4 linked regions of the Oreochromis niloticus genome follow. The protein of the gene in region 1 interacts with the protein of each later gene in a pairwise test. Links are inferred from orthologs where the notes say so. Each region holds a gene or a part of one and is shown on either strand. Other genes may lie near its edges. The genes, in order: khdrbs2, dock2, chtopa and ptk6b.

The links.
Region 2: the proteins of khdrbs2 (region 1) and dock2 interact in binary tests that used the Homo sapiens proteins (3 or more experiments, as listed by UniProt). The two-hybrid records come from large-scale screens. The link is inferred for Oreochromis niloticus from reciprocal best matches to the Homo sapiens genes KHDRBS2 and DOCK2.
Region 3: the proteins of khdrbs2 (region 1) and chtopa interact in binary tests that used the Homo sapiens proteins (3 or more experiments, as listed by UniProt). The two-hybrid records come from large-scale screens. The link is inferred for Oreochromis niloticus from reciprocal best matches to the Homo sapiens genes KHDRBS2 and CHTOP.
Region 4: the proteins of khdrbs2 (region 1) and ptk6b interact in binary tests that used the Homo sapiens proteins (3 or more experiments, as listed by UniProt). The two-hybrid records come from large-scale screens. The link is inferred for Oreochromis niloticus from reciprocal best matches to the Homo sapiens genes KHDRBS2 and PTK6.

What each region holds. Positions count from the first base shown.
Region 1 is NC_031978.2:20,112,393-20,119,387, reverse strand, and holds the start of khdrbs2 (KH domain-containing, RNA-binding, signal transduction-associated protein 2), read left to right. Parts: upstream 1-3,986; 5' UTR 3,987-4,364; coding exon 4,365-4,455; intron 4,456-6,995. UniProt on the Homo sapiens protein: RNA-binding protein that plays a role in the regulation of alternative splicing and influences mRNA splice site selection and exon inclusion. Binds both poly(A) and poly(U) homopolymers. Phosphorylation by PTK6 inhibits its RNA-binding ability.
Region 2 is NC_031966.2:22,944,357-22,951,324, forward strand, and holds the start of dock2 (dedicator of cytokinesis 2), read left to right. Parts: upstream 1-3,958; 5' UTR 3,959-4,117; coding exon 4,118-4,160; intron 4,161-5,994; coding exon 5,995-6,078; intron 6,079-6,968. UniProt on the Homo sapiens protein: Involved in cytoskeletal rearrangements required for lymphocyte migration in response of chemokines. Activates RAC1 and RAC2, but not CDC42, by functioning as a guanine nucleotide exchange factor (GEF), which exchanges bound GDP for free GTP.
Region 3 is NC_031985.2:35,541,930-35,549,778, reverse strand, and holds the start of chtopa (chromatin target of PRMT1a), read left to right. Parts: upstream 1-4,828; 5' UTR 4,829-5,155; intron 5,156-5,788; 5' UTR 5,789-5,813; coding exon 5,814-5,878; intron 5,879-6,923; coding exon 6,924-7,074; intron 7,075-7,849. UniProt on the Homo sapiens protein: Plays an important role in the ligand-dependent activation of estrogen receptor target genes. May play a role in the silencing of fetal globin genes.
Region 4 is NC_031984.2:955,548-963,208, reverse strand, and holds the start of ptk6b (protein-tyrosine kinase 6b), read left to right. Parts: upstream 1-4,648; 5' UTR 4,649-4,886; coding exon 4,887-5,305; intron 5,306-7,661. UniProt on the Homo sapiens protein: Non-receptor tyrosine-protein kinase implicated in the regulation of a variety of signaling pathways that control the differentiation and maintenance of normal epithelia, as well as tumor growth.

The sequences.
Region 1 (6,995 bases):
TGATAGTGTTATCAGTCTGTCAGTAAAACGTATAATGTTGCACTTTGACCACTAGAGGGCTGCAAGAGTCCATCAAATGCATATAAAGAAATATACATAAAAGTTATGATCAAAAGAAAACGTTTGTTATAATTGTGCTGTCAGTTATACTTTGATAAAAGTATTTTCTTAAAGAAATTAAAAGAAGTTTAAATTTTACTCTCACACACAGAAAGCTAAACTTAAAACTAAATTTTAAGTTCTGACCCTAGTAGTTCTGTTGATGGACTATAAATAAAAGATGGATGTTGCCACCGTGGAATAATAAACAGTATAAAACATGGACATGATTTATGGGTCAGAAATATGAACCCACTGCAGAAGTGTCTTGAACCTGCATTCTAACTATAGGTCACCAGATGGCGATAGCTGTTGTTTGCAAAAAAGACTTTGGGTCATGTTGAGGTTTCTCATGTAAAGTCATGTGCACATTGCTCAATAGTTGTCTGCCATATTGGGCATGATACCACCACTGGTTGGTAGAGAAAGGTACAACTTTTACTTTGTAGCAAATGATCTACATTTCTGATGTGCTTCACACTTTTTACTGTTTCACTGCAGCTTGGAGAGCAGCTGGGAAGTGTTCATGGAGAAAACCATCTCTTTCATTCAAACTAGGACCACAGCAATATGCTAGCAACCAAAGCAATTGGAAGGAGTTATTTGCTAACCAGTTGGTGAATACACATTTTTTCCCTAGCAACAGGTGGTTGCCAGATGGTTACTAATCACTCTCTGCTTGTGTGACCAGGGCCTTATTCACTTGATCCTACATCGTTACTGTATATTCTATTGTCACAAAGCCAAAAATGGCAGACATGTTAACATCACATGGTTAGTGGTCACATGTCTGTAAAACCACAATAGAAGTCTATGGGGGGAAAAAACGCTTTCTTTCTTACCTTAGTGAATACTTTTTTGATAAGTTAGTGGGCTAAATTAATGCTTTTGGGTCACCTGGACTAAAAGGGTATGTTTATTTTTTTCAATCTTGGTATACTATTTTTGAAAAAGGAGCATTATTTGTGGTATTCTTTGGGTAGGTCTGCACAGACCTTCACCCCTTTGTCACATGCTATCTGAAATATCTTATACTGTGGATTCAAGTCTTGAAACCTCAGAAACCAATGGATGACATCATGGTAGCTATATCTACCATTTATGTAGTTGATCGGTGTCATAGAACACCACGTTTGGACTAGTGGTGAGTAACAGACTAATAAAAATACTAGAATCGTACTCAACTGAATTAGAAAAAAAAATTTAAAAATTCCATCGAGTGCTGGTGTGCTATATACCTGTCAGTCTTTTTACCATTTACAAATATGGTAAAGAGGACCAGTGTCTCAAATTAAGCCTAGCGGATATGGACAACATCTCCTTGTGTCTGTGGACCTGTCAGTCAACGCAATCGCATCCTTAACTTTAAATCTTTCCAGTATCCATATGGATGAGTTCTTAAAAATAAAAAGTTGAAGTGAGAAGAAATCTAACAGGTTCCTTTTTTTTATGCAGTAAAATTTGGAATGTTAAGATTTGAGTTTTTGGAAACTGATTTGCTTTTGCCTCTCCACTAATAAATGCCAGTTTGAGTCTTGTGTTGGCTTAATTTTGGAATATTTTTCATCTCGTTGAGATGATGAAAGAAAAAAGTTTTTCTGTAGAAATCTTTAGAAATCTATTAAAAATTATGGTTTGTAATAAGGTGTCTATGGGTTTTTTGTTATTGTTTTCATCTGTTGGTGTGTGTGTGTGTGGTGTGAGTCTATTTCAATATGCCTGCATTAGTCTACATCTACAAACATACTATAGACTTACAAGACTCAAACACATTAACCGTCATAACCCTCATTACCATTAATAGTCACAGCAGCAGCAGCATGATTTGCATTAACACTGTCATAAATCATTTTATTGAATAGAATTAAATCAGTGAAGGTCCAGCGAGCATGAAATGCAAAGACAGTACTGGCCAACATGGCCATAGCTGCTTGTTTTAGGCTTTCAAGAAGAAAAATAAAGCTGTGTCTGATTTCATAGAGAAAGGAACTTAATGAAAAATAAATGGAAAGGGGATGTAAGTGTGAAGTTTTAATCAATACTAACTCCTTTAAGGCTTGTTTGGCATTACAGAAATAAGCAGATTAATGAAATAGTTCTGTCAGACAAACCCACTTGGGTATTCTGGCCTCTAAAACAGTCTTTTAAATCACCCTAAAAAGCCATAAAAAAGTCATACTCTGTAATCTTCAATGCCAATACACAATTTAAATGAAAGAAACCTTTGGCTCAGTTTTATGGATATTTCCAGCCATTAATGTACCACAGAGCACCCCAAAACAACAGCACTAGATTTCCAAGACAAATGTCCTGGTTTCTCAGAAGATATTAAATTCTACCAAAACTGAGAAGAATCATAAATACTATGAACATAATTGACTCATATTCACAAAGCATTGCTGTTTGCAGCCGCGAGGAGCCTTTATGATTCTGATCAGTGCGGGGAGAAACAACTCTAAAGGTCAAGTGGAGCCAGAATTGGTCGTTCACCAGCCTCATCTGCTCAAATCTAATTTGTGAGTTAGTAAAGCAGCCTGCATGCTGTGCCGAAGATGACTTTTGGATTCAAGTCAATATCATGGCTTGGGGACAAGAGAGCCATTTGATGAGATATAAACATTCATGCTTACAGTGCTGACACCACTAACACTGGCTCTTGATGAGTAAGTGAAGAATTCACTTTATTATTAAATATCTATTTATATTAAAGCTTCTTTATGCCAAGTCTGCCACTGACTATGCAATCAGCTAAAGCTCTACTAGAGCTGACCTTCTTCAGCCATAAGAGGGGATGCAGCTCAAAGGATGTAAGGAACTGACATAAGTTCATTAAGTAACATGGAAAAACTAATTAATGGTTTATTTGGCATGCATACCTTTAAATATATGATTCACTCTGTAACAATACAGCCAAACTTCCTTGACAGCAGCAATGTCAAACTCATTTTGTATCATGGACCAGATACAGCCCACTATGATCATAAGTGACCTAGACTAATGAAACTCCCATGTATATCAGTATAAAGAAGTTTAATTGCACATTTAAACCTTGAGACATTTTAATATAAGAAAAAGAATGTTCAGTTTTAAGAGTACATCTCGGTTTTTCTACATTATAAAGAAATGCTTTTGTGCACAATGGATACTGTGGAATGCATACACAGTGTGTCAACCCCCCCTCTGAGAAATTTTTGTGGTAGACAGTACAAAACACAAAAATAGCATCAATAGCCATGTGTTAAACCTTTATCAAAAGACAAAAGTGTAAAACTCACGAAAATACAGTTAAAAGTTAAAAATCTATGCCTTTGTTGACAGTTTCCAAGGCTGTCCAGCGGGGCAGGATTAGAGTCTTTGCCAGACTGATTCTGGTCCCTAAGCCTTATGTTTGACACCCCTGTTTTAGCGTGTGGGACAGAGTTAACGAAGTGGATCATGTCATGTGGAGTGTGAAGAATAGTATGCTGTATGCTAATTTAGGTTACCCGTAAATCTAAGACAAATTAGATATGTACAAACAAATCAGACAGCAGCCAGTGTTTAGCACCATGAACAGTTGTGTTGTCCCTCACAGGTGAATGCCTGCGGGCTACTTTGTACTGACTTTGTAGTTACTTTGAAACTCACGAGCTGCATAAAAAACCCATTTAATTAAGCGACATTTATATGGTACAGTCTGTCAGTGCAACAAAACTTTACTAGCATGCTTTATTTGTTCTGTTTGAGTACTATATCCAATATTATTAAAGTTTCCAGTTGAAAAAAAACCGAGAATCTATAGTTTCGGGGTGACATTATTTCATAGACCGTTGTCAGCAGCGACCAAATGCAACCCCATCCTTTTAAAGCAATTCCCTTAAAGAACACTGAGCATTTCCTTTGCGCTCAGCGGGGACCTTTCTTGGTGTTTCAGCAGCGCCAGTCCCAGAATATGGCCAATAATGTTGCTGAGGGGCGGGGAGCAGCGCGGTCTGCAGACCCACTGAGTCTGGCGGGGTGCCGAGGAGAGGCAGCAGGCAACGGTAGCAGAGATGGGCTCACACCTTTGAATCACAAATCAGCCCCCCCACCCCTACCCCAGTCAAGCATCTCGGGAGACACTGGAAGACCAATTTTTGGAGGGGGTTTTGCTGGTGTTCCTCATTAAGACCGGTAGACTACAGCTACCAAGAAGCAGGAGCGGCAAGGTTTATAGTTGCATTGTGACGTTCAGCACTCCTGTCGTCTCACCTGCACTGCCGGTGAAGAGGTCCGCTGTGATAAAGATGCATCCAGATAAGTACCTACCTGAGCTGGTGTCCGAGAAAAACAGCCTGGACCCCTCCTTTGTGCATGCGGTGCGCCTGCTTGCAGAAGGTAAGTCAAGTATATATGTGTGTATATATAGAAAATATTATTTTTTTTTCAAGTCTAATGCACTCTGAATGTTGGACTTGGCGACAGTCACGATGTTCATTCTAACGTGAAAGCACAATTGCATTGAATTTTGGGGCAGTACAGTGAGCTGATGTGAGCTTGTTTTTAACACATCACTCTTGACTTTTAGTGCTTGCGTGGCGACAGTTGAATTCTCTGTGCTGTGCGTTTAATGTAGACACTGCTCTTCGGCTCCAGTGAGGAACTTTTGTTGGGTTTTCCCCAAAACTTCAAGTGAACAAATGCTGTGAGCAGAGACACTAAAGTATGTGTACAGTCAGAGGGGGTTATTGTAACCCCACTGTCCGCCAAGATCAATGCGCTGGCTCGCATAAAGCGAATGTCTTCCTTGAGGATTTCTCATTGACTTCAGGGCAAAAATAATAAAAAAGGTGCCACATTCGTCAGTCCAACAATCATAGTACTGTATTAAGGTAAACGTGCTCTTAATCCTGTTATAATACTGTGTGCTGCCAGCCAATATTTTTTCTGTAAAATATGTGAATTGTGTGGTCATTTATCAAGCCAAATATCACCTCTCTAATATTTTAATTATTCCACGTGAGCTAAACCTTGGAGGCTAAAATCAAAGTGTTTGTAATTATTGCATCATGAGTCATAGATTTCTGACTGAACGAAAATTGATAGATGCACACCTCCTCTTACAGGATAAATGCCATCAAGGTAATGGAGAACAGAAAATGTCAGTGAAACATGCTGTAAAGCCTTTCCTCCAGAATAATGTTACTGTATGTCAACAGAGTGCCGCAATCAGCCTGCAGCATTTAAAGTACTTTGTAGCCTTCATCTCATTCACATGCTGAGAATGTGTCACTTCTGATAGGAAGTGTGTCACCTCAAAGCGAACACAAAAACTCAGCTCAGCTCATTCAGCCCAGAGATGCAACTTTTGCATTTCTCGTATAGACTGCGTGGTCTCTCTTCCTGTAATTGCACAAGTCTGGTTGATGTGCAGTGCTATAAAAGCTCGGATAAACGTTTGAGTGACGTGCTACTGGAGTGAATGGCTGAATGATTATCATAAATGTGAATGGATGAACCTGCGTGGCCTTACCAGGAAAGACAAGACAAACCAAACATGACAAGCAAGCAAACCAGTTAGTAACGTATTCCTCTACAAAACAATATATCAGCCATAAAATGACAAAATTAAACATAAAATGCCATCATATGTTACATGACTGTAAAACACTCAGTGAAACGCTCTCTACTGTTTTTCCTGTGTGCTAAACATGTTATCACTAGTGATTCTGAAGGCAGTTGATTTAACTAATTTATTAGATCATGCATGTATGCTAATTTTGGGTTCTGACATGTTTGTTTAAAAATGTAAAGTCACACTTTGTGTTAATTAGCTGCTGGATGGGGTGTGTGTGCACTCTGCTGTTCGGCCCCTTGAGCTTTCCTGTTGAAATGTGTTGATGAGACACCTGACACTCCCATTCTTGTCGCTAACTGGGATGCAGATGGGATCATCTGTCACACAGTACACTTTGCCATATGTACTCAAGCCTAGCTGACGCAGCCAGGATGCAAACAAAGAATGCCATCTACCACTATGAACTGCAATTAGCATGTTACATGAGGATACCTATGTATTTTCTTTACTAACTTTTTTCTCTGAGCAGTTTTAACAGTTCACAACAAATACACACACTACAATGCCCCATAATTAACAATACAGTACAGTCTTCAATATTACAGTACAATACTGTAGAAAAAGTAATACATTGGAATGCATTTGTCTGAGAAGAATGCTGTTGGCAAAGTCAGTAAACAGAAACCTCTCTGTATTCATCAAACACAAAAGTGGCCAATCAGTATAATAAACTGTCAGTTCAGTCAGTCTTGCAATGTCCAAAACAATCAGCCGTGGGCAGCATGTGAAAAAATGTTCAGCACAGACTTGTTATCTTGTGTTGTCAGTCTATGCTCATGGATAATGCAAAAACCCTGCGTATCGGTGGACAGCAAGATAAACTGCGTTTACAGATTTACAGATTCGCAGCTATTTATCACTGAATATCAAAGGATGTAATCCCGTGTTATTAACATCATGCACAATCAATAGCATAACATGGATTAACCGTGGTCACAGTTAGCATCTCCATATTTATGAAATGAATTATTTACTGTTTGTGTTTAAGTTATGTTGCTTCTAAAACCGTTTGTCTTTCTTTGAGCTGATTTAAAACTCTTTGGAACAAAGCTCCAGTCCGCAGCTGTAAACTACGGGTGGGTGGGGATAATTCTCTTGTCGAGCTGAAACTAAGCTTCCTCTTATGAAGCAGCAAGGGTTGTTAGACAGAATATATGAATAGATTGGTATATTATACAATCAAAACTGTATGCAGAGTATTTTGAAACTGCTACAACTTTCTTCCACAATCTCAAATGCAGATTTTTTTTTCTTGGACATGCTGCATGAGGCTAATGATTCCTCAGACTGACAGATAAGA
Region 2 (6,968 bases), on another chromosome or scaffold:
AAGAAACCCGGTCGGCTCTTCATATACACTGAGTCACAATCAGCCCCTGATGACAGCCAGCTGGCAAGAATTCGTATTTTCCACCCATGTGTCACATGACCCAACAAACCAGACTAAGGGTCATGTGCAGTAAATGGCACTTGCTGAGCACTGCTTACCTTTGAAAATAATCTCTCATCTTCCTCTTCTGTCCTCATTCTTTCTCCATCTCTCAGGCTTGCACATTTTTGGTTGGGTTTTTTTTTGCTCTCCCTGGGAAATATACTTTTAGCTAGCTGACACAATTTGTGTCAGAGTGCACAGAAATGTTTGCGTGCATTTGATTTGTTGAGCTACTTGGAAAGAATTTGAAATTGTATTTGACACCACCTACTTAAAAAAATTACTTTTTATGCTCACTGTCTTCTGTAGTGCTGAAACACTGACCACAACTTCTCATGTGCACCTTGAACGCATCACAGGGATGAGAAGAAAATAGGCATGTTTTGAGAGTGAATAACAACCTGTGGGATGTCTTTAGTTTCCTACTACTGAGCAAGTATCTGCATGCCATCATATATTAACTAAGAGTAATATTAACAAAGAGTTCACTGTACTCAAATGGCCTCCATAGTCATTAGATCAGTCCAATAGGGCAGCTTTGAGATTTGCATCATGCAGATTTTCCTCATGGAAAAAAGTCTGCAGTAACTGTGCGATGCTATCTTGTCAATATGGATCAAAATGTCTCAGGAATGTTTCCAGCACATTGTTGAATCTATAGAGCCACGACGAAGCCAAAACTACTAGCAAGGTATAACTAATAAAGTGACCAGCGTGTGTAGTGCCTAGTCTATGTCAACACTATGTTCAGAAAACAATATATACTGATCAGTCAATCAATCAGCCAAATCTTTATTTCGAACATGTAAGTAACAAGTGTTAATACATACTAAAACAAATAAACACGAAATCGCTGGAAGCCTTTCTACTCACAAGGAAAACCAAAAACCAAAAAGCTGACCATTTCCCGTTCAGAAAGGAGCAGGAGGAAGCAAATACTTCTTACTGATAAGATATAAGGAAATATTTGAAAAAACCAAACAAACAAACCATTTAAGAGCTCTAGCCCCCTCTTCTGGATTTTCTTTTTGACCCATACATACAGTTTTTTTTAATGTGATTTCTTTCTATCTATCCCTTTTATTCTTATAAATAACAGTTTTTGATATACTGCACATGTTAACTTAGCTGGCAACTCCAATGCACCAAGTTTATCTCTATGTTTAACAGCTGAGAAGCTGTGGTAAATATGCATGAACGCCTTGCTGTGAAACTCTGCCATGTTATTATGATAAACCGCTACCAGGAATTTAGATTTACTTGTGATTGTGTTTTGCAATGATGTCCTGATTTGCAACTTCAAATGATGTTACTTGAGAGTCACAAGGTGTGGTTTCAAATGATCTCACCTACATTATAACACAGACTATATGAAATGTATACTTCAGGTTCTGAGAAGTGAAGCAAATGCAGAAGTGCCTCAAACCCACATTGTTTTCTAAGGTTACCAGCAGGTGACTCTTATGACTTAAGGTTAGGTGCCATAGTCTATAAACCTCTGTGAACACTTTCCTCGTTACAGGGCATTGAACCCTATACGGTGACTTAACTGACCATGATTTGAAACGTAAAAATCAAAAACTAAAAAATGGGTGGCCTATAAAGGGACATGTGTTCACTCTCTATGTTAAAGTCACACTGCATAAAACATTCATTTTGTAAAGCCTGGTCCCTACTAGAGTCAAACAGGATGATATATTGACAAGCAGCCTATGAGCACCGGGTGATTTCTTGGTTAGTTCAATTCTTGCCACATTCAGTTTCATTAAGTTTCAAATCACCAAGTTGGTAAGGGCAAAAACTTTACACTTGCAGCTTCTCAACACAACGTCCCAATGGACAAAGCAAGAGTAGCTCTACCTTTCATTTACAGTCTATGGATTATACACATTGGCTATCACTTGTGAAGTACCCAAAATCCCTTTATGTCCTCACTTTAGTAAAGAATACTATTTCATTTTCAAGGATCATTTCAGACATAGCTAATTTTAAATGTGTGATGTGAGTAAGCCTCTAAAATCACCATCATAACAAAAGTAAAACACATCACCCACAATAACATTGATATGCTGATGATAGATCAGTTTTTGATGTGTCTGTCAGGTTTTGACAGCCTCAACCAATGATGCTGTCAAAACCTGACAGCCATAGCCTTATTGGTTGAGAGCCAACCTGCCAAGAGGCCTTTTATATTTTACATTGGCTGTCCAAAAAGTAATACTCACATAGAGTATTTTGATTGGTCCTTTGTCTTGTGAAGATCTCCAGAAGAAACTAATCCCTGAGTCATCCATATTTCCCCTAATAGGGACTATAACAGAAGACAAGCTGCAAGGACAATCAGCGACCAATTGAAAATGGTTTGAAGAATTGAGTTTATATTCACAGGGTACTTTTTAAAAAATGGCTTTGATTGCTTTGGACTGTCATACTAATGATGAAGTTCATAAAGACTGGAGGATGATTTTTAGGTTATAAATGGATCGTTTGGATATTAATTACTTCCCACTGGTCTCTGAAAAGTTACTATTTACTATTCTAAGAGTGTAGGTTATAATTAATGTCAAGAGAGCGATCAATAATATTAAAAAAGGTCTCATCAATTATGGATGCTTGTTGCCAATTGCTGTGTGAAGGATGCTGTCAAGAATGGAAAGCTAATGGTTACCAAGGCAACATAATCTGTGGGAGGTACAGGGTAAATATGTGTTTATTTAAGGAGTGTTTTCTTTAAAGTCCACAACTTGAATATTAGTTTTATATAAGATTCTTGAAACCAGGAATTCAGGGCCCAGTTAACATCTGCGTCACTTCACATCTCTCGCTGTTTTTTGAGGTACGAGTGCAGTTTCAGTTTAGAAAGTATATAGAGCTGCAGGAATGTTCCCGATTAAAGAGACAAAATTGCTGCGGTTGCTATACATGCAGTCTTTTATGTGTCTTTCAGCTAACATTGCAAACATTAGAAAGTTTTTTAGTGACTGCCAAAGTCAAATAATTTTTGCTTCATCCTGCTGAAATGTGGTCATTAGCTCCTTTTCACTGTATTCACATGCATATTAAATTAACCATTAATGAGGTATGGAGAGCTGGCCAGGCAGGCAGGGCTTGATGACGTGGCCTCTGGGTTATTACAGGCATTTTTTTTTTAGTCTTTTCAGATCAATTTTAATGAGCAGCAAAATTCATATAAAAAAACAGAGTGTGATTTGATGTCTCATGCAAGAAAAAACCCAAGCAGCTTTTAACACATCGTCCCTTCCTATTCAACATAAAATTGTTAAAGATCAGCATTGGTATTGTAGTGCTTGCCTAGCCATTCGGATTGTTATAGTGTTTTCTCCACTTTTACCTTTCTGGTTGTAGATCGAGGAGGAGGGGGGGGAGTTCAAATTATCTGTAATAGAACACATCATCAAGCCATATCCTCTGATGCTTTGCCTTCTACAACATTTGATTTCACAAGCTCAAATGGTGATGCACAAAGGAAAAGGTCAGGGTATGTTATGTGCACGATGGCTGAATAAGCTGTGAGACTAATGGTTTAAGTCATCAGCGGTTCAACGGCTAGATGCTACTGTGAGAAAGCAGACAACCTGCGTTTTTCAGATATGAAAACATGAAAAAAATAGCAACAAAAAATGTGCACGTATTGGCCCGGTTTGACACTCAGACATCCTCTCGACTCTAACCCTTCTGTAACTGTCATCATGTGCTACTGACGTTTTACTTTGAATAATGAAGGCGAGTCTAAATGAGGAAAGTAGAGACATCGCAGGCTGCAAAAGCCTGCGGGTGCTGTAGGACTCCACCTTGTTGTACTCACCCACTTCCTCTTAACCGCCTGAAGGCAGGAAGAGAGAAGACACAGAAGGGGAAGAGAGGCAAAGGGGGATGGGCTTATTGCTTTCATTTAACGTTAAAAAAATGCAGAAATGAGAAGTTAAGGTGGACGGACAAACTAGGAGATTTATAAAGACAAAAGTATAAAGTAGGTAAAGGATTACACACAATCATGGTTCCTTGGACGAAAACCACAAGAGAGCGGTATGGTGTAGGTAAGTCAACATGTGCTTGTTTGTATGTATCTTTGTGTGAGTATGTGCAGGCACATCCAGTTTTTATGGTGCCTTTCTGTTACGGTATGATGCTAGCCTATACAGCCAATGAATAGAAATGAGAAAAATAGATTCCCATCACTTCCTGCTTGGCGGATGTAGGCAGGTGCCAAAGGCCTCAAAGAGCTTTAGGAGGTAGACATCAGCTTTAATCCCTCCAAAGAACTGAGATCCTGAAATCTTATTCATCATTTAACTTCAGTGCAACTACGCTAATTATAGTTTATTTGCACTGAAGAGGTTCGTGCAGTGGTTTGTGAGGGATAAAATCATAAGCAAAGATGGAGAAATAAGCAGCTGCAAGTAGGCAATCTCTACAAATTGCATAGCATGCAGCACATAAATACAGAAGCTAGAAGATAAACAGTCCTTAAAAATTTTCATTTTTGAAAGTGAAAGCCTGGTTTTGGCTAGGAGCAAATCCTAGAATGAGCAAGTACAGTGTGCAGTTTATCTGTTATGTATGTGGGTTTAATATGGCGGAGCTAATCAGTGTGTGTTGCCATTAGATATGCAGTGCAGGCACACACTTGGAAAAGACACAGATTTCTGCCTCTTAATACAGACTTTATTAACTGAGGTTCACTGGTCTGTTGCAGCCACTGCATTGATTTATCATTTAACCTACTTGCAAAAAGATAGACCATGTAGGGTTTTTTCCACCTGAGTAGTTCATCTACTGCTAGCATGAGACTGATGCTGACAGTGGGTGTGTGTTAAAAAGTCATTTTAAAGCACTTTCTAATATACTTACTCAAAGAAAATATTGTTTATTGTATCTAGTATAAATATCTTCCTGGTCTGTGTAAGACTACAACACAGGAAGTGGGGGAAGAAGGAAGTCTCAAGTTTGAATACAGCAGAAAAGTCTGATGCAAAGAAAAAAAATGTTGACAATTTAGTCTCACGAAGTGCGCACAAATAAGCTTCCTTTTCCTTTTCTATCAGTTTAAGCATCGGTCTAGAAATATTCTGGCTTTTTTTTCTTTTTTTTTTTGCACAGTCACAATTTCATTAGCAGGCATTTTGTAGCTGCAGTTCTTCTTGAGGGCAAACCATCTCTAAGCTTAAATGGAGGAGAGCAAGCCTCTGAACTGTTGCACAAAGAGGAATGATAGACTCTGTAGCTGTCGGTGCTCTGCACACCTTTCCTCTGCCGTGCAACTGGTCTTTGGCTGCAAAGCATGTCGCTACTCATTGCTGCTTTCAGTGTTTCCTAAATCTGATCATTTTGACTGATACAGTCATTAAAGAAAAGACAGAAAGCAGAAAAAAGAGCCAACTAACGTCTTAAAATTGCTCCAGATCTCCGGATTATCAACAGCCCAAAACCTAAACAAATGCTGCTTACTATCGCATAAGCCCAGCCTGAGGCCCAATGAAGAAAGGCGTTGCTCCTCAACCTGTTCCGTTGCCTCCCTACTCGTGTGTGCCACCGTTTGCAGCTGGCCAGCATCTGGATACACTAACTTATTTGGGCTACCTATTTATATTTACCTTAAGCTACTTAGTCACCAACTACTATTGTGTTTCACTGCTACTTGTGTTTTTTTACTGGTTAGCCTTTTTTTTTAAGTCTTATAACGTGTGACGTCATTAATCAAGCTAGCTCACCGTGTGTACTAAAATCTTCCTGTAACCGACGCATTGCCACTGCACACTTAGTGTTTGTGTTCAAGTTTATTTTTCCGTTGTAACAATAACCTTAATTATATATTCAACTTATTTATTTATATATTTATTTTATTCACTTATTTTTTTTCTTCTTCTTTAGTAAAGTGGAACTTTGTTGGCCAAAATGAGAAGCACCTTTCCCTGGAGGTGGGCGAAACTGTCCACATCCAGGAGGTTTGCGAAGGTAAGATAGTGTTAAATAAGACGTTTATCTGGTTTGTCAGTGTGGTTCAGATACTTTATACATAGATGTGTAAACCTTTGAAATTATTTGTTATTGAAAAACTGCATGTTAGTAAATATATTTTGTTCGTGTATTTGTAAATGTTACATTTTATGGAGCATAAACATGATAAATATATGTAAAATATAATATGTACGCTCAACTGCCACTTTTTTAGGTACACCTTTGTACTGGGTTTAAGCCCTGTTTAGCCTTCACCATTGCCTTAATTCTTCCTGGCATAGATGCAACAAGATGCTGGAAACATTCGTCAGAAATTTTGGTCCATGTTCACATGATAGCATAATACAGTTGGTGCAGAGTGAACCTTCCTGATGCAAATCTCAAAGGTTGGATGGAGATTTGGTGTCTTAGCCAGATGATTTGGGCTTTGTCACACAGAAACAGCCATTAGAGGCCATCAGAAGATGGGTACACTCTGGCCATAAAAGGATGAGCATGGTCACGAGCAATATTCAGATAAAAAATGCTAAATTGGTACTAAGGAATCTAAACTGTGACAACACAATACCCCCAACACCATTACACCACCACCTGTGTCTGAAGTGTTTATACAAGGCCGGATGGTTCCATGCTTACATGTTGTTTACACCAAAGTCAGACCCTACTATTTGAATATTGCAGCAGAAATCAAGACTCATCAGACCGGGCAATGTTTTTTCCAGTTTTCTACCACCCAATTTTGGTGAGCTCAACCACATTGTAGCCTCAGTTCTTAGCTGGCAGACAAGCGAGCCTCGCTGTAACAACAGTGCATCGTTCAGAGTCCCTTCAGTCACTTTTTCAGTCTGAAACTCTGTTTGAACTTCTTAAGGTTGTCTTGAACATGT
Region 3 (7,849 bases), on another chromosome or scaffold:
TCTCCTCGTGCATCTTGCCCCTTCCTCTCGTGCACGCCACAATAACAATAGCTGGGAGACGACGTGCGCGTCAGTGTCTCGACACGCCGCAGCCAATCGGCGGTCAGGTGTCACAGGGCACGCACCTCTCGGCCAATCGCGCTGTGGTTCTCACAGCAGGACCGCTAGCCACGAACTGTCTGGTTCGCCTAGATTGGCCCGCGAGACTGTTTTTCTAAAGTGGCGCCGCTGAGGATTAGCCCCGAGTCACCACCACCAACACTGGAACGGCACGGCTCGGTATTTGAGCACGACTCCAGCGTTGTAGGCTCACACTGAATCACTGAATACACCAACAACGCATGTTAGTTCACTTACACGTCATTTACATGTGCAATAGCACAACTTTATCCTTCTAGTAGCAAAAACAGGAAAAAATGGCACTCACACAATCCTTACACAAACACTGCGGTAACGTCCGGGGGGGGGGGGGGCTTATTCCAGGATAATTTTTTAAATCAGATGTGACCCTTGTAATGAAAATTCATTTTAGATACTGTCTCCCAATAACAAGGCAGAGGTGTTGAGATTGTTGCAGAAGGAATGGACTCAGTGAAATGTTGACATTCACACTCCAAAGAGAGAACAGTTTTGTTACCATTTACAAAATGTCAGATCTGTGAAGACGAGGGATTTCTCCTAATGCGGTGACGATTTGGTAAAAATGACAGACAACTAAAGACACTATGCTCTACAGGTACATTTGCATTTAAGTATCTTTAAGTATTTAATGTGTCTATAGCTGAAAATACAATTCAACATGTGCAGAGAATTTACTTTCCACAAGTAGGCAAGTTTCTACTCTGATTTATACAAAACAGTCCCTCTAAGTACTCTATTAACAATACGCATCTGCTTTGAAACTACTCCAGGGCAAATGTGGATATTAAACAGCCACAAAATTAAGAGGGGACAAGCTTGTGCTTTTTAACTGCAGGACAAATAAGAGGCAGCGAAACAAACTACTCAGATCACATCATGACAGATAGCCAGTAGTCTACATTTGGGGCTTTTCTGATACAAAGTCTTATAATAATTTACATTATCTTCAGGTTTTAGTAAAAAAAAAAAAAAGGGAAAAAAAAGAGAGTTTATTTTAGGAAAATGTTTGGATTAAAATACACCCTTTCAACAACATTAGTCATGTTGCATGGGAGAAGGTCCTGAAGCAAATGACCTCCATGTGCCAGTGGCTCCAGCAGCAACCACAGAAACTGTTCATAACATCACAGGTAAAGTATCTTCTTCTCTCTTGCATGTTGTAACAGGAGCAACATTTCTAACATTGCAGTCATGGATAGAAGTATTTATTGTACATTATATGGACAAAAGTTCTGAGCCACCTACATATTACACCTGGACAGGGAACTGTAACAACTTTTTCTGATTTTGGTTCTGTAATTCACCACAATGAATTTTCAATTAACTTGGATGCAGCTGAAGTGCAGACTTTCAGCTTTAATTCAGTGGGTTGAACAAAACGATTGCATAAAAATGAAAGGACCTGGATCTTTTTTTAAAACACAATCGCTTCATTTCAGGGGCTCAAAAGTAATTGGACAAATTAAATAACTGAAAATAAAATGTTCATTTCTAATACTTGGTTGAAAACCCTCTGCTGACACTGACAGCCTGAAGTCTTGGACTCATGACATCACCAGATGATGGTTTCCTCCTTTTTAATGCTCTGCCAGGCCGTTACTGCAGCAGCTTTCAGTTGCTGTTTGTTTGTGGGCCTTTCTGTCTCAGGTTTAGTCTTCAGTAAGTGAAATGCTCAGCTGGGTTAGGATCATGACTGACTTGGTCATTTAAGAATATCCCACTGTTTTTCTTTAATAAACTCCTGGGTTGTTTGGGGTCATTGTCCATCTGTACTATGAAACATTCAATTTGACTGCACTTAGCTGGATGTGAGCAGACAGGCTGTCTCTGAACACCTCAGAGTTCATTCTGCTGCCTCTGTCCTGTGTCACATCATTAATAAACACCAGTGTCCCAGTGCCACTGGCAGCCATGCACACCCGAGCCATCACACTGCCTCCCCTGTGTTTTACAGATGATGTGGTATGTTTCTGATCATGAGCTGCTCCACACCTTCGTCATACTTTTTTTCTTGTCATCATTCTGGTAGAGGTTGATCTTGGTTTTGTCTGTCCAAAGGATGTTTTTTCACAACTGTGCTGGCTTTTTCAATTCTTTTTCTTAATCAAAGTCCAATCTAGCCTTTCTATTCTTAAGGCTTATGGGTAGCCTGCACCTTGCAGTGAACCCTCTGTATTTATGTTCATGCAGTCTTCTCTTTATGGTAGACTTGGACATGGATACAGCAACCTCTCCTGGAGAGTGTTGTTCACATGGTTGTGATGGGGTTTCTTTTCACCATGGAAATGATTCTGTGATCATCCATCACTGCTGTCTTCTGTGGCCGTCCGGGTCTTTTTGTGTTGCTGGATTCACCAGTGCTTCCTTTCCTTCTCAGGATGTACAATCTTCCACTTTTCACACCAGTGAATACCACTTCCAGTTGATTGTGTATTATCTTGGAGTGAAAATTCACCAACAGTGGCGTCTTGTACACTTCCACACTGCCATACAGTGAGCTCTCTACAATGACCCATTCTTTCAAAAATGTTTGTGAAGGCAGGTTGCAAAGCCAGTGATTGATTTCACACAGATGTGGGAATAAAAACATCAAAAGATTAAGAGCTGTGGCTCCTATAGTTTTGTCCACATAGTGTATCTATTTATTGAGTGCATTAGAATTATTACATAAATATCTCCACTGTATTGCAAGCCCGTACTCTGAAGTTGTCAAATGGTAAGCAGACAGCAGCTTGGAATTTCACTGTGACAAAAGCAGTGCAGAACATCAGCAAGGTATTAAACAAAAAGACAAGCAAATGTCAAAGGAAGACTGGCCCCTCCTGTTTTTTAGCTTCCTATAATCACAATCATCCTTTGCTGCTGATCAAAATAGCTCACAGTATTTGCTGTGTGGAGCAGAAGGAGGTTCAAGGTGAGGTTCATGGTTTACTAGGTGAGCGGGAAGCAAAGACGCCCGAGGTCTCCAGTATTGTCTTCCTCCGCGCCGTCTCTTTGGCCACGTTGTGGTTGAGCCGCCTCAGACGTTCCTGGACAAAGAAAGCTCAGGTTGTGTAATGTTGTTTCTGTATTGTTTTTACACCATTTTGAGGCAACTTGAATAGTTAGTATATCTGTGGTCGCCATGGAAATCGGAATTACAAGTCTCTTCATACAGTATTTGTAGCGCTGGTGATGGTAGCAATATTATTAATAGCAGTAATTATTATTTATTATAGTGGAAGTTGTACAGTGGTAGTAATACAACCAGTGCTAGTGTATAATTGGCAGCAGTATAAATAGTTGTAAAGGTGCACTGGTACAGAAGCAGTCAATTCAATTCAGTTTAATTTATATAATCACAAAAACATAAAGTAAAGAACTTCTTCATTTCTTGCTGTACAAAAGTTTTAAAGCAGCTTTAACTCTATCTGGAGTTGTTGGTCCAGCTATAAACACAACAACAACTTCCTTTTAACTCAGCTTGAATCTGCTAAAGATAAATATCTGGGTCTAGAGCTGCTAAATGCTCCACTATGTTCACTTGCTACTTTCTAAGGCTGGGATTCTACTTGCTTACAGACATGTACACCAGTAAACATCAGGGCCAGGAAACTGGTTCTTATTATACTTATTTTTCTTAAAGTCAATCTCGTCTACCTTGAGCATGTGTGCACTGCAGAGTCTACCTAGACAATTATAATGGAGTAAAACAATTATTTGCCCCATTTGTTGCATATTTGTCACACTTGCATGTTTCAGAGTATTAAACAAATTTAAATATTTTGCAAAGATAACCTGATGATTTCAAAAAGTTATCCAAACCTACCCAGCCCTATGTGAAAAAACTAGTGTCCCCTAAACCTAATAACTGTGCTGTGGCAATGACATCACACAGACACCCTGCAGTTACAGCTGTACATGAACATGTGGATGAAGTCGGGCAATGTCAGGAGAATCAAATTCAGACAACTTCCATAGTTACTCTACCTCACATGTTCTACTCAGGTGGCACACGTGATCCCCACTCACTGTTCTCTGGTACCGCCCTTATCGGGGCTCAATATGACATTAGACTAATTTCTTGCCTAATGTCTGATGTGACCAAGGCTGTACAGGCATGCTGACAGGGGCAGAACATGTGATACAATTTCTCGGGGGCTTTAAGAAGCCCAGCTACAGACTGGTACCGACCTGAGCGTTCTGCAGTATGTTGTTTACTAGCACAACTCTACGCCTCGCATTCAGCAACTTCTTTACATATGGGTCCAGGTCCAGAGCCACCTTCTGATGTTCGTTTATCCTGCATAACTCTGAAAAAACCAGCACGTTATTTATGAATCTTTTATAGCTGATGCTATATTTGAAGGACTTCATGCAGGACTTTACCTGTGGCCAGACCGTCTATATGTTCTCTTAATTCCACTTGGCTTTTTCTGCAAAGAAACGAATAGTCACGTGAGTCCAGAGAAAACTGAACAACAAAACAATCAGTCTGACGGGGAAAGTCAGCTGACTGTCAATACATTGGAGAGAAAAAGCTAGCACGGTTTGCAGTCTAATCTAACGAGGAAGCTGATTACCTGACCGAGTTTACATGCAGATCGAGCTGCTGTATTGCTGGTCTCAGGAGGTCGAGCAAACCCTCGGCAACAGCATCGTTACCAGAAGAACCTTCGACTAAAGCTGTAGCTGCCATTTTACTGAACCAGCACGAGCGGACAGGAAGTCGTGTCCTCGTGACGTCAGCGTCACAAGAACCTCTCCATTTTCTTCCCATCAGTGTAGCCAGGAGCACCATTTTAGGCTTTCGGATCGCGGAGGAGTCTCGATTCCCACGTTTTACAATATTCCTGGGAGAGTTTGATATAGGGTCGCTTACTCACGCGCTTTTTCAAGCCGCGCGTGCGTGGGGAGTTAGTATATGGTAAATTGTATTTAAACAGGATACAAGGACACCTATACGAAGCCGCTGTGCTGCTAAAGCTAACCTTAGCTAGCTTTGAGGCATTTCTCTACCAACGCAGAATCCGCTGTAAGTATGAGATAAAGTTGTTATTCGTCGATAAACGACATGTTAGCGAAGACGAGGCGGAATCGTTACTCCTTGTTCTTGTCTCTGCAGTTTGTTATAACCGGATGGGCGCTCGCTAAACATTTCATTTTTCCAGCGGACGTGATCGATAATTGTGTTCAAATTAAAAATTTCCCCTAAAGAATCGATCATTTTAAATGCCGTTGACACAGAAAAGAGTTTAAAGAAGTTGAAAACTTTGCTAAGTCAACCAAACTGGCAGTCGGGCTGGTCTGAAGTTTAGCTTGGGTGGGAGGGGGTCGTGTGTTACTCCTACCAGGAGGACTGTTACTTAAACGATCCCAGTAGGATTTGTGTGAAACTGTGTGTAGTCCTCAAAATAATCTCTCTGTTAAACACACATGTAACAGCTGTAGATGTTAATTACAGCAAATTCCTTGCAATAGCGATTTAACCCTGGAGAACCCATGGGGTCAGATCCGACCCCATTGGTTTTCTAGGGAAGCCATGGGGTCAAATTTGACCCCATGGCTTCTCCAGGGTTAAAAGTGGTCATTTAACATCTAGTAGTAGTGCATACATTATGTGTAAAAGAGAGGGAGGTGAAACAAGTTCTGTCTTTTCTGTTTCCAGGACTCTACAATCAAAGTCTTTCAAAATGAGTGCAGCTGCCTCCCAAAAAGTTGTCCTGAAAAGCACCACCAAAGTGTCCCTAAATGAGCGGTGAGAGGCTACGCACCCTGTCAGAAATTAGTCACCTGCTGCCAGCCTTGGCTTGTGAAGGTTCTAATACTCTCTACGGAAACCTACTGTTGGGACCAAACCTGTTATGGATGCAGCTCTGGCTGTTCCCCGTGTGTGCGCTGCTCATTCAACTCTGTTGGCCCTGTCCTTGTTTGTGTTACATGTAAATGAAGTGTGGGGCAGAAGGGGCTTGCCCAGGCCAAATGTTTTGTGTGAGCAGCACACACATGTAGATGAGGGGTGACTGTAGCGGTCGTGGTTGGTAAAGCATACGCAGAACCAGACCACCGTCCTGTAAATACCTTGGCACGCTGGCTCCCTGTTTAAACAGCACTGTATACGTCATGTATACACCATTAAATGGGGCAGGAGAGCAGAGAGCTAAAGCTAAGTCACTGAGATGGGGCATCTTGTCTTTTCTGCCTCTCATCTTTTTCTCTCTCAGACCAGTCAAAGTGAAGCTTTTTATCTCCTCATGTTCTACCATGTCTGTCTTCTTCTTCTTTCCTCCTTTCCCTGCTCAGAGTACTCAGTCCTAGCTTGGACGTGACAAGGGACTACCCCTTCCCCACCAATTCCCTAGTTCCGGACCACTTGGTGGTTTAAATAAAGTCACGGTCCATCCTGTAAGTGGCTGGGTGCCAAAGCACACCTCATGCCCTGGCCTCTGCTGCTGCGACATGATGACATCCCCGCAGTGTCAGCTGGAGGCTTGTAAGTGGCAATTGTGGCTCTTCTTCTGAAACTTTCTCTCTCCTGTCCTGAAGTCTGCTTTCAACTGTTTTTTCTCCTTGTGTTAATTTTACAACACGGGCTAAAGTCAAGTGTAAGTAACTCTGGAATATCATATGATCGAGAGAGAAAATAAGTGCCAACAAGTGGAACAAAGTCTAACATGACTAAAGAGCTGCCACGATCATCCATATGAGAAATGACATGATGTGGAACCCTGCTTCCTCCTCCTCTGTATATCCCCTGTCCCCTTCTTTTACTTCCTCCTTCTTTTTCCCTCCCACCTCTAAAGCTTCACTAATATGCTGAAGAACAAGCAACCCACTGCGGTAAGCATTCGAGCCACCATGCAACAGCAGCATTTGGCTAGCGCCCGCAATCGTCGGCTGGCCCAGCAGATGGAGAACCGGCCTTCGGTGCAAGCTGCTCTGAATCACAAGCAGGTGAGCGCGACGTTCAGGTGAAATTGGTGTCCGTGGCACTGTTGGTTCGATCTGAGTATGTTTAACCCAAATTAAGGCTACGTCCACATGTACATGGGTATTTTTGAAAACGCAGTTTCTTCTGTGCGTTTGGGCCTTTGGTCCACACGTACACAGCGTTTTGCATCACTGAAAACAGATTATTAAAAACTGTTTTTGTGTTTATGTGTGGACGAAGAAAACAGAGATTTAGTCACTCAACGCCAACGGTGTGCACCTTTTTTGGCATCACACGTTATTGTTTACATGAGATGAATTTCTACAATGATGTTGACAAAATACTGTTGCTGTTAATCTGAGTATCTGCAGTTTTTACATGCTTACGTATACAAACACAGTTTAGAAAGACATCTTTGTTTACACTTTCCCTCCCAGGCTGCTCGACTTCTGATTGGCCAACATTTCTACAGGGTTAGGATTGTATCCAGGGGTGCACATAAGTGGTCCGCAGGTGCGCATTCGCTGTCAAAATAAAAGACGCGCACTGGATAAGAAGTTGCAACGCGCGTTTGCGTACATAAGATTTTCTGGAGGAGGACAGACATTTGTTTAGAACTCTTAAAGATGTCAAAGAAGCTCCTTTAAGCAATTACTTTGGTGTTCCTCCACCTCCAAAGAAATGTCAGAAGGAGTCCGAACCGCAAAAGAAGAGCGTACTCTCAGAAAAGTGGTTGCAGGAGGTGAGCTGGCTTCAAACAAATGATGAACACACAGAGATGTGGTGCAGAATATGCCG
Region 4 (7,661 bases), on another chromosome or scaffold:
TGTGGACAAAATACTCATTTGCCTAATAATTCTGCACTCCCTGTATAAACTACTACTTAGCATGTTTGCAGTATTTGGCCTGTTATAAATATTTGTTGGTAAACTAAACCTGTGTAAAATATTAATTCTAAACACTTTAAAAACAGTAAGCCAACAAACAAAAACACTTCTTTAACAGTTATCTGTTTCACACTCAGCACTGTAATATAACACATACAGCTCATCTCCAGCGAGATAATGTGCAGCAGTGAAGATAAATCTGCCTTTTAGGTCCAAGACCAGCTCGAGCGCAGCCACGGTCCCTCCAAATGATCCTTCACCTCAGCAGAGAATCCAGATCCCGGGAAGCTGATTCTGTTCATCTGGACGTTTTCACTGAAACGTTTCATCATCATCCAAGACTGAAGAAGTCACTGGGATGAGTGACGAAACGTTTCTCCCACTGAAACATTTGGACTTGTAAACAGCACATTTGCACAATGACTAACAATGGGCCGTGAGGTCAGTTTAAGATCACTAATGATCATAACCGCTGATCAGTGGTCATGAGTCACAGAGAGGTGGGGAATGGTGCAAAGCTTGGCTCTGTGTAGATTCCCCCTGACTGCAGAAACCACGTGAAACCACCGGGCTGCTGGTGCAGCTGATACAGACGGCGGCAGCGTGGGCAGGAATAAGAAACGTGATGTTAGAGCAGACACTGTGTTTACTGAAGAGAATATGACATCAACAGGATGCTTCAAGGTGTAAACGCAGAGTTGAGATCCCCCTGCACTGTGCAGGTTTGAAGTAATCTCAACATTTTGGAGCTTGAATCTGGTAGTTGAGATTATAGTGATGACACAGAGACCTCCCAGCACGAAAGACTCGGCGCTCTTCACCAAAGAAAAATGTCAAAATAGCAGAAGCAGCGTGCAAAAAGAAATGTGTTTTACAGAATAAACTGTTTAACAGTCAGGTGACGTCACGAAGCGAGCACAGAGCCGTTTGCTCGGAGAGTTCACCCACGCCTGATTATCTGACACCAGGCTGATTCTCTTTTTGGTCAAGCTCAGGATAGATAAAATAGTAATTACAGGTAGTTTTATTAAACATGGCCACCCAGACCAGAAATAGTTAAACATGTAAATATTGATCAATAGTCACTTTTTCTTAGACAGAGTGTGTCCCTTTTCTTAATATAATGTTTTATTCTTGAAACTGTAACAGGTAATTTAATTACAAATACTATAAGTCTGTGTTATACAAAAAACTATTTATTTTTAACCCATTTTTTTCCAACAGCATGTAAAATACTTGTAGTTTTAAAAACATATACATATTTGTGCATTTAATGTTCCTGACTTCTCAACTTGGCACAGACATTTTCACAATGACATTTTCTTAATGATTCTATTCAATTATTTTTAAAAAACATTTTTCCAAACAGGGTGGAAATATATATTTGTTCATTAAAAAGTACATCAGAATATAAACACTGTGACACACACCATAGTACCACATAGAAATTCCCCTCTCCCCCCTGCGGGCGGTCTATCCTGCACCTGGGGTCTTGCCTGGTGTGATAGACCCCAGCCTCTATGGATCTTGTGCTCAGAGCTTGTTCTTGTGCTGCCATGATTAGTGCCTCTGTGCTGTCTTTCAGTCCAACTTTGTCCAGCCACTGGTAGGATTTCTGGATATCAGCCACCTCCTCTATCTGCCGGGGGTACATACCGTGCAGGGGCCTGTCCTTCCATGATGGTTCCTCCTCTTCCTCCTCTGTCTTGGGTTTCTGCTGCCTGAGGTATTCCTCATGATTCCCTGTGGGTACTTGCAGGGGCGGATCTAGACAAATTTTCTTGGGGTGGCATGAGGGTGGCAAAGAAATCAAATGGGGTGGCAAAATCAAGGCTTTTTTTCCAAACACATATGCAGGTGGTTACATATGGTTAAAATGATTCAAATGCAGTAAGTATACACGTTTTTCATATAAATATAGTCTATAACTTAATTATTGTCTGTAGCCCACATAATTACACACTTTGGTTACATAAAACATGTGAGTTTTGATCTTATGTACTGTATAGCCTGTATAATAAATAAATATGTAGCCCAATAAGTATAAAATCCAGAAAGCTACACAACATGGAGCAGTTCATTTACAAACACAAGTCTAACTTAAGTTTCACTGTTTTTGGTTAGAAAACAGTCACATTGTTACAGCTTAAATTACACAAAATGTCAGAAATCTGCACTGTCATGAACAAAAATTTAAACCTAATTTTTCATGATTTGTTGGATCTCTGAGGTCTGAAATACAAGCGGCCATTTTTGACTCCTTTTGAGTTTACGTTTGTATTTCACCCTCAGATTGTTTCATTTTATTCCCCCCCCCCCCCTTGCCTTGTTTGGTATCTTTTCAGCTCAACTGAATTTAGTTGTTTTTGTCACTGACATACTGCATTAGTACTACTATTACTATTAATAGTACTATTACTGATCTGAAATCACACAAAGAACTTAAAATCCTAGTAGTATTTTTACTGTAAAAAAACCCACAGACATGTTGAGTAAATTTATATAACTTGAAATGCAAATATAAATTGTACATTTTGCCTCACAAATGATGTGTGCCAGTAAAAAAAGTTTTTCCACCAAAAGACAGAGGAGAGCAGCACAGGGACAAACCTGCAGGCCTGACAACAGCAGGTGTATCACTCCGCTGGTTTTCTACTTAGTGACAGTGTTTACAAATGTGCCTTAGTGACATTCATTAGTGCCCTCACTGACACACACAACAAAACGACTACACAACAGAACAGCTACACAAGACAACACAACACACTAAGTATACACTCCACACTAAACGTCACAAATCTCCCACATCTAAAAACTCCCTCTCTCTCTCTCCCTCTCTCACTCGCTCGCTCTGTCTCGCTGCCGTTACCGTCACTCCCAAAACTCTCCCCTCTTCCTAAACAACAAAATCCCACATGTTGACTTTTTTTTTAAATTGGTCGACATGGTGCATTTTTCCACTGATAGCAAAGAGGTGGCTTCTTTTCCTTTCTTTACTGTTTTCGCGCTGACCTTAGAAAACGCTTAAAACACACACACAAAAACGTGACGACAGTATTTAGAAAAAAGCGTGGCTTATATATATTATCATAACTCTGGATTTACTGGCCTGTAATTAAAATGTAAAAACTTGGAAGTCCGAACTTTCAATGTGGGCTGAAATAGAGACTCAGCGTGGCTGCAGCTTGTTGCTGTGTCAGCTTACATCAGTCATGTGATTTGGAGGTGCAGCGTGTCCGTGGACCACAGAGGGTTAATAACACTCACCTTGCTTCCATTTCCAGAGTGTAACATCCAACCACCTGTGCAAAATCCAAAATTCCCATGGTGTTGTTCAAAATGTGCTCTGGCACAATCATGAGCATCGCTTGCTGCTGATAACAAGAAAAAAGCCGGTCCTGCTATGGGCTGAACCATTTGTTAATGGTGGAGGGGGGAACACTATGCAATATATTCAGTTTTAGCATTTATATTCACTGTTGACTGTAACTACGCTCAAACTGTTAATGCTATCTTATTTTAATAAACAACACTGTCATATGCAAAACTGGGGTGGCACTTGGGGTGGCAAGGGATCATTTTAGGGTGGCACTTGCCACCCCATGCCACCCTTCTAGATCCGCCCCTAGTCACTTGTATCTGTCCTCTATGTCTGCAATGTTGCCTTCTGGTTGTTCGATCCCCTCAGTTCTGACTATCTTTCCTCTCTTTGTTATTAATTAATGATAACAATAATAATTATTGCTCTCTTTTTATCATTTTCACGTGATAGTTCCCCCCCAAATTCCACCCTGTTAAGTCTATGAACCTAACAGGGTGGAATTTGTTTAGCTAATCTAGCTGTAGCTCTTTAGCTGATCAACATTTAGCCAGCTAACCGTCAATAAATGAACACACCTTTATTAACTCAATCCAACATGTTTTTTAAAAATATTCTACTTAATTAACATTTTCCTCATTTGACCTTAACAGGGTGGAAACTTGAGGTTGACCCATACAGGTGTAAAATGTTTAAGATGAAAAAAGTAAAGTGACAGTTGAAGTTTACCTCATTTTCCACAGTTCAATTCCCACCAAAAACAAATGATGCCACTTCCTGTAAATGGCTTTTATGGGCTTATTAAGGTAATAAAGCACATTCTAGCAGGGTGGAAAATTACTACTGGGACAAGTACATTATGAAGAAAAAAGTAAATAAGTTTTATCAGATTCAATTGCATAATAAAATAAAGCTTAGTATAGTCTATCAAATTGATATATATAATTTTATGACATATACGTCTGGAGGAAGTTAATAAGGGCACTGTGGGACACAATGAAATTGAGCGTGTGTCACCGAAAAGGTGTGTAAAATAAAAAAAATCATATTTGAAACGCATTTCATTTATGTTTAAATAATTGCAAACACTTAAACACATCATTTAATTACTTTGTTGTACATATTTGGCACATTTTAGAAAAAATCAGGTAAGTGAATCATGTGGACATGAAATGCTGTCACCACGTCCTGCTGTAACCCGCGAGCTGAGCGTGCGGGGTACCTTGGCAAGACACCTGCGCACCTGTAAAACCCCGATGTGTGTGTGTGTGTGTGTGAGCGCGCGCAGATTGATGACACCCTCTGGGGGCGGGGCTCCCGTGGTTTCTGTGACTAAAGGAAGTCCCTCCGTGGGCTCGGCCCGTACAGTTTCACTGCGCCGTTCCCCTCTCAGGCATTCCCGACATTCTCCGCGCTCCCTGCTCTGCACCTGTCGGACAGGTGTGGCGGGCTGACTGAGCCGAGCTGCGGTGACGCACAGCCCGCGCGGAGCCGTTCATGGTCACCCATGGGTGAGTGTCTGCGCAGAGCGTGCCCCTGCCTGCAGTCACTGTGGGAGAGGATCCTCACGGAGAAGAAGGCTCCTCAGCCAGCGGGAGGAGCAGGAGGTGAAGAAGAGGATGGAGGAGGAGGACGCAGAGGCACCTGCAGCGACAGCGACGGGGAGCAGCCCCAGGCCCCGACGCCGCCTCCGAAGCCCCCGAAGGAGACCGCCTCCGAGGGCAGCTGCATCTACACGGCCATGTGGCCCTTCGAGTCCCGGCACCAGGAGGAGCTGTCCTTCCAGGAGGGAGACCTGTTCAGGGTGGTCAGCCGCAGCGGAGACTGGTGGACGGCGCGGAAGATCGACCGCAACGGGCACGTCGTGGCGCAGGGCATCGTCCCCAACAACTACCTGGCGAGGGCAGAGTCCATCAACGTGCAGCCGTGAGTGCAGCTTCCTCTGACGGCTCCCAGAGAGCAGCTCTCGCCTCTGGGAGCTCCGAGGGCCATCCCGGTGTCCGCGTTAGACAGAAGCACGTGGCGTGTCTGTGTCGCAGGAGTAGAGCAGGACATTTCCAGGATTGTTTCAGGGGTAACACACCTGATCCAGCCCCGAGAGTAGACAGCTCAGGTGTCTCATCTCTGAGCTTCTCCTGTCCAACACAGAGTTTACACTCAAACCCGACAGGAGCAAAGCTTCAGCACAAAGTGTGGCAGTATAATCATCCATGATTTGATTTAATGCAGCAGCTGCAGGGGATTTAATGACCTCCACACTGGGGCAGCTTTATTTACACAGCATCATATGATTCACACCATAAAGTCAGTACAACAGGCAGACACTAAAGCTTCTAAATGTTTACACTGAAAATGTGACGCAGCACAAGAATGAAGCAGCAGAGTGGTTTTTCAAGAATGTACGAGTACATTAAGTGTATACTTCAGAAAAGTGTCACAGTAATTTCTGATTAATATGTCACAGAACAGGTAAAGGTGTTGACAGGAAAGCTAGAAGATTTCCAGCTCAAAGGCAGAAACTCATTTTATCTGAGCAGACAGCTGACAGTTCAGTGGAACAAAGACGCTGCTTCACCTGCACACACGTGTGTGTGTGTGTGTGTGTGTGTGTGTGTGTGTGTGTGTGTGTGTGTGTGAGCCCACATTCAGAATCTCGTTTTTTATTATGTTCACGAGGCTGCTGTGCCTCCAGCTGCAGATGCATAAATCAGGATGTGTAACACCTTTATTATCAGCCAGAGTCCACAATGTCCACCTACCTGCCAGGAACTGTAAACGCTTCCTTTAACCTTTATCACCTTATCACACATTTATCCTTTATCGCATTAGTAAAACTGAGGTGAGCAGTGAAGCAGAGTGCTGTAAAAAGGCACTTTGGGAGTCAAACGGCTGTTTTCTACTGCAGTAAAGTGGGCATGTGCGTCCTGTTTACAGCTCTGCCTAAAAGTGGAAGTTTCTGTAAGTTCTGCTTTCCTGTCACTTCTGTGAAAAGATGCAGGCAGTCAGCACGGAGCGTTAAAAGCAGCCCCGCTAATCAGACGCTTTAGGTCACGGGTGTCAAACTCCAAACTTTTCCATGTATCCCTGCTGCAGCACACCTGGATACAATAAGTAGGTCATTAGCAAGACTCTATAGAACCTGAGTGCATGCTGAGGTGGCAGTTCAGCCATTTGATTCATGTTACAGCAGCTCATGAGTGGCTGAACATGGTGCAATAAAAGTACTTTTTTTCCAAACACTTGTATTTAAATTTACTTGAGTAGGGTTGGGGGTTGTCACCTCAGCATGCAGTCAGGTTCTATAGAGTCTTGCTAATGACCTACTTATTGTATCCAGGTGTGCTGCAGCAGGGATACATGGAAAAGTTTCAGGACAGCAGCGCTGGAGGACTGGAGTTTGACAGCTCTGCTTTAGGTGAAAAAATGAACAGTTCACATTATGAAGGTTAAATGTTATTAACGCTCAGCTTTTTAACGTTTGATATGAATATTTGGATGCTGTTAATCATCTTTTTGACCTGTTAAAAAACACAAACAAAAAAAACTGAAGCTTCAAAAGCTGCAGTTCCTGTAACGTCCAGCAGGGGCTCCAGCAACGAGTCTCTCATGTTAAAACTTTGCAGCCGAAATAAACATGTTTGCAGCCTGATGCACAAACTTGTTGGTCCCTAGAGATATTTTGTTTCTTCGAGTTTGCATTATTGGGGCGTGGCCTCATTGACTGACAGGTGGTGGTGACACAGGCGGCTGTAGCTGCTAGCTGTCTGCTAGGCTTTTAGTCAGACCTCTGTTATTAATGACATCATGTGACCAGTATTATGGCTGCTGTGAGGTTACTGTACTAACAGAGCATCCAAGAAGGTGGAGCTCCAAGTTTGCTGAGTGAAATTCTAGTATTTTGATTGGATGTTATGGATCAGCAGGTGTCTGAGTGATGCACCCATAGAGTCTGTGCTGACCCAGATAGCATCAGCTGATAACTTAGCGCTCCACCCGCTCATCCAAACATGTTCCCCTCAGGAAATGGACTGAGGCTTCAAAATGTGAAAGTATAAACAAGTTACATCCGTCTTCTATTTACAGTGTGATAAAACGCCAGCGAGCTGCTCGTCTTTATAACGTCACACTTTGTGCTGCTCGTTTATTTTTGTGGTTGTCCAACAGTGGCAGCTTTAATTGATCCTGACTGAGCCGTACGCTGTGAGCACCATGAGAAATGTCACAGCTTTACATCACACCAGCCCGTGTTTGTGTTTCAGCTGTGATGCAAACTGGGACGCAC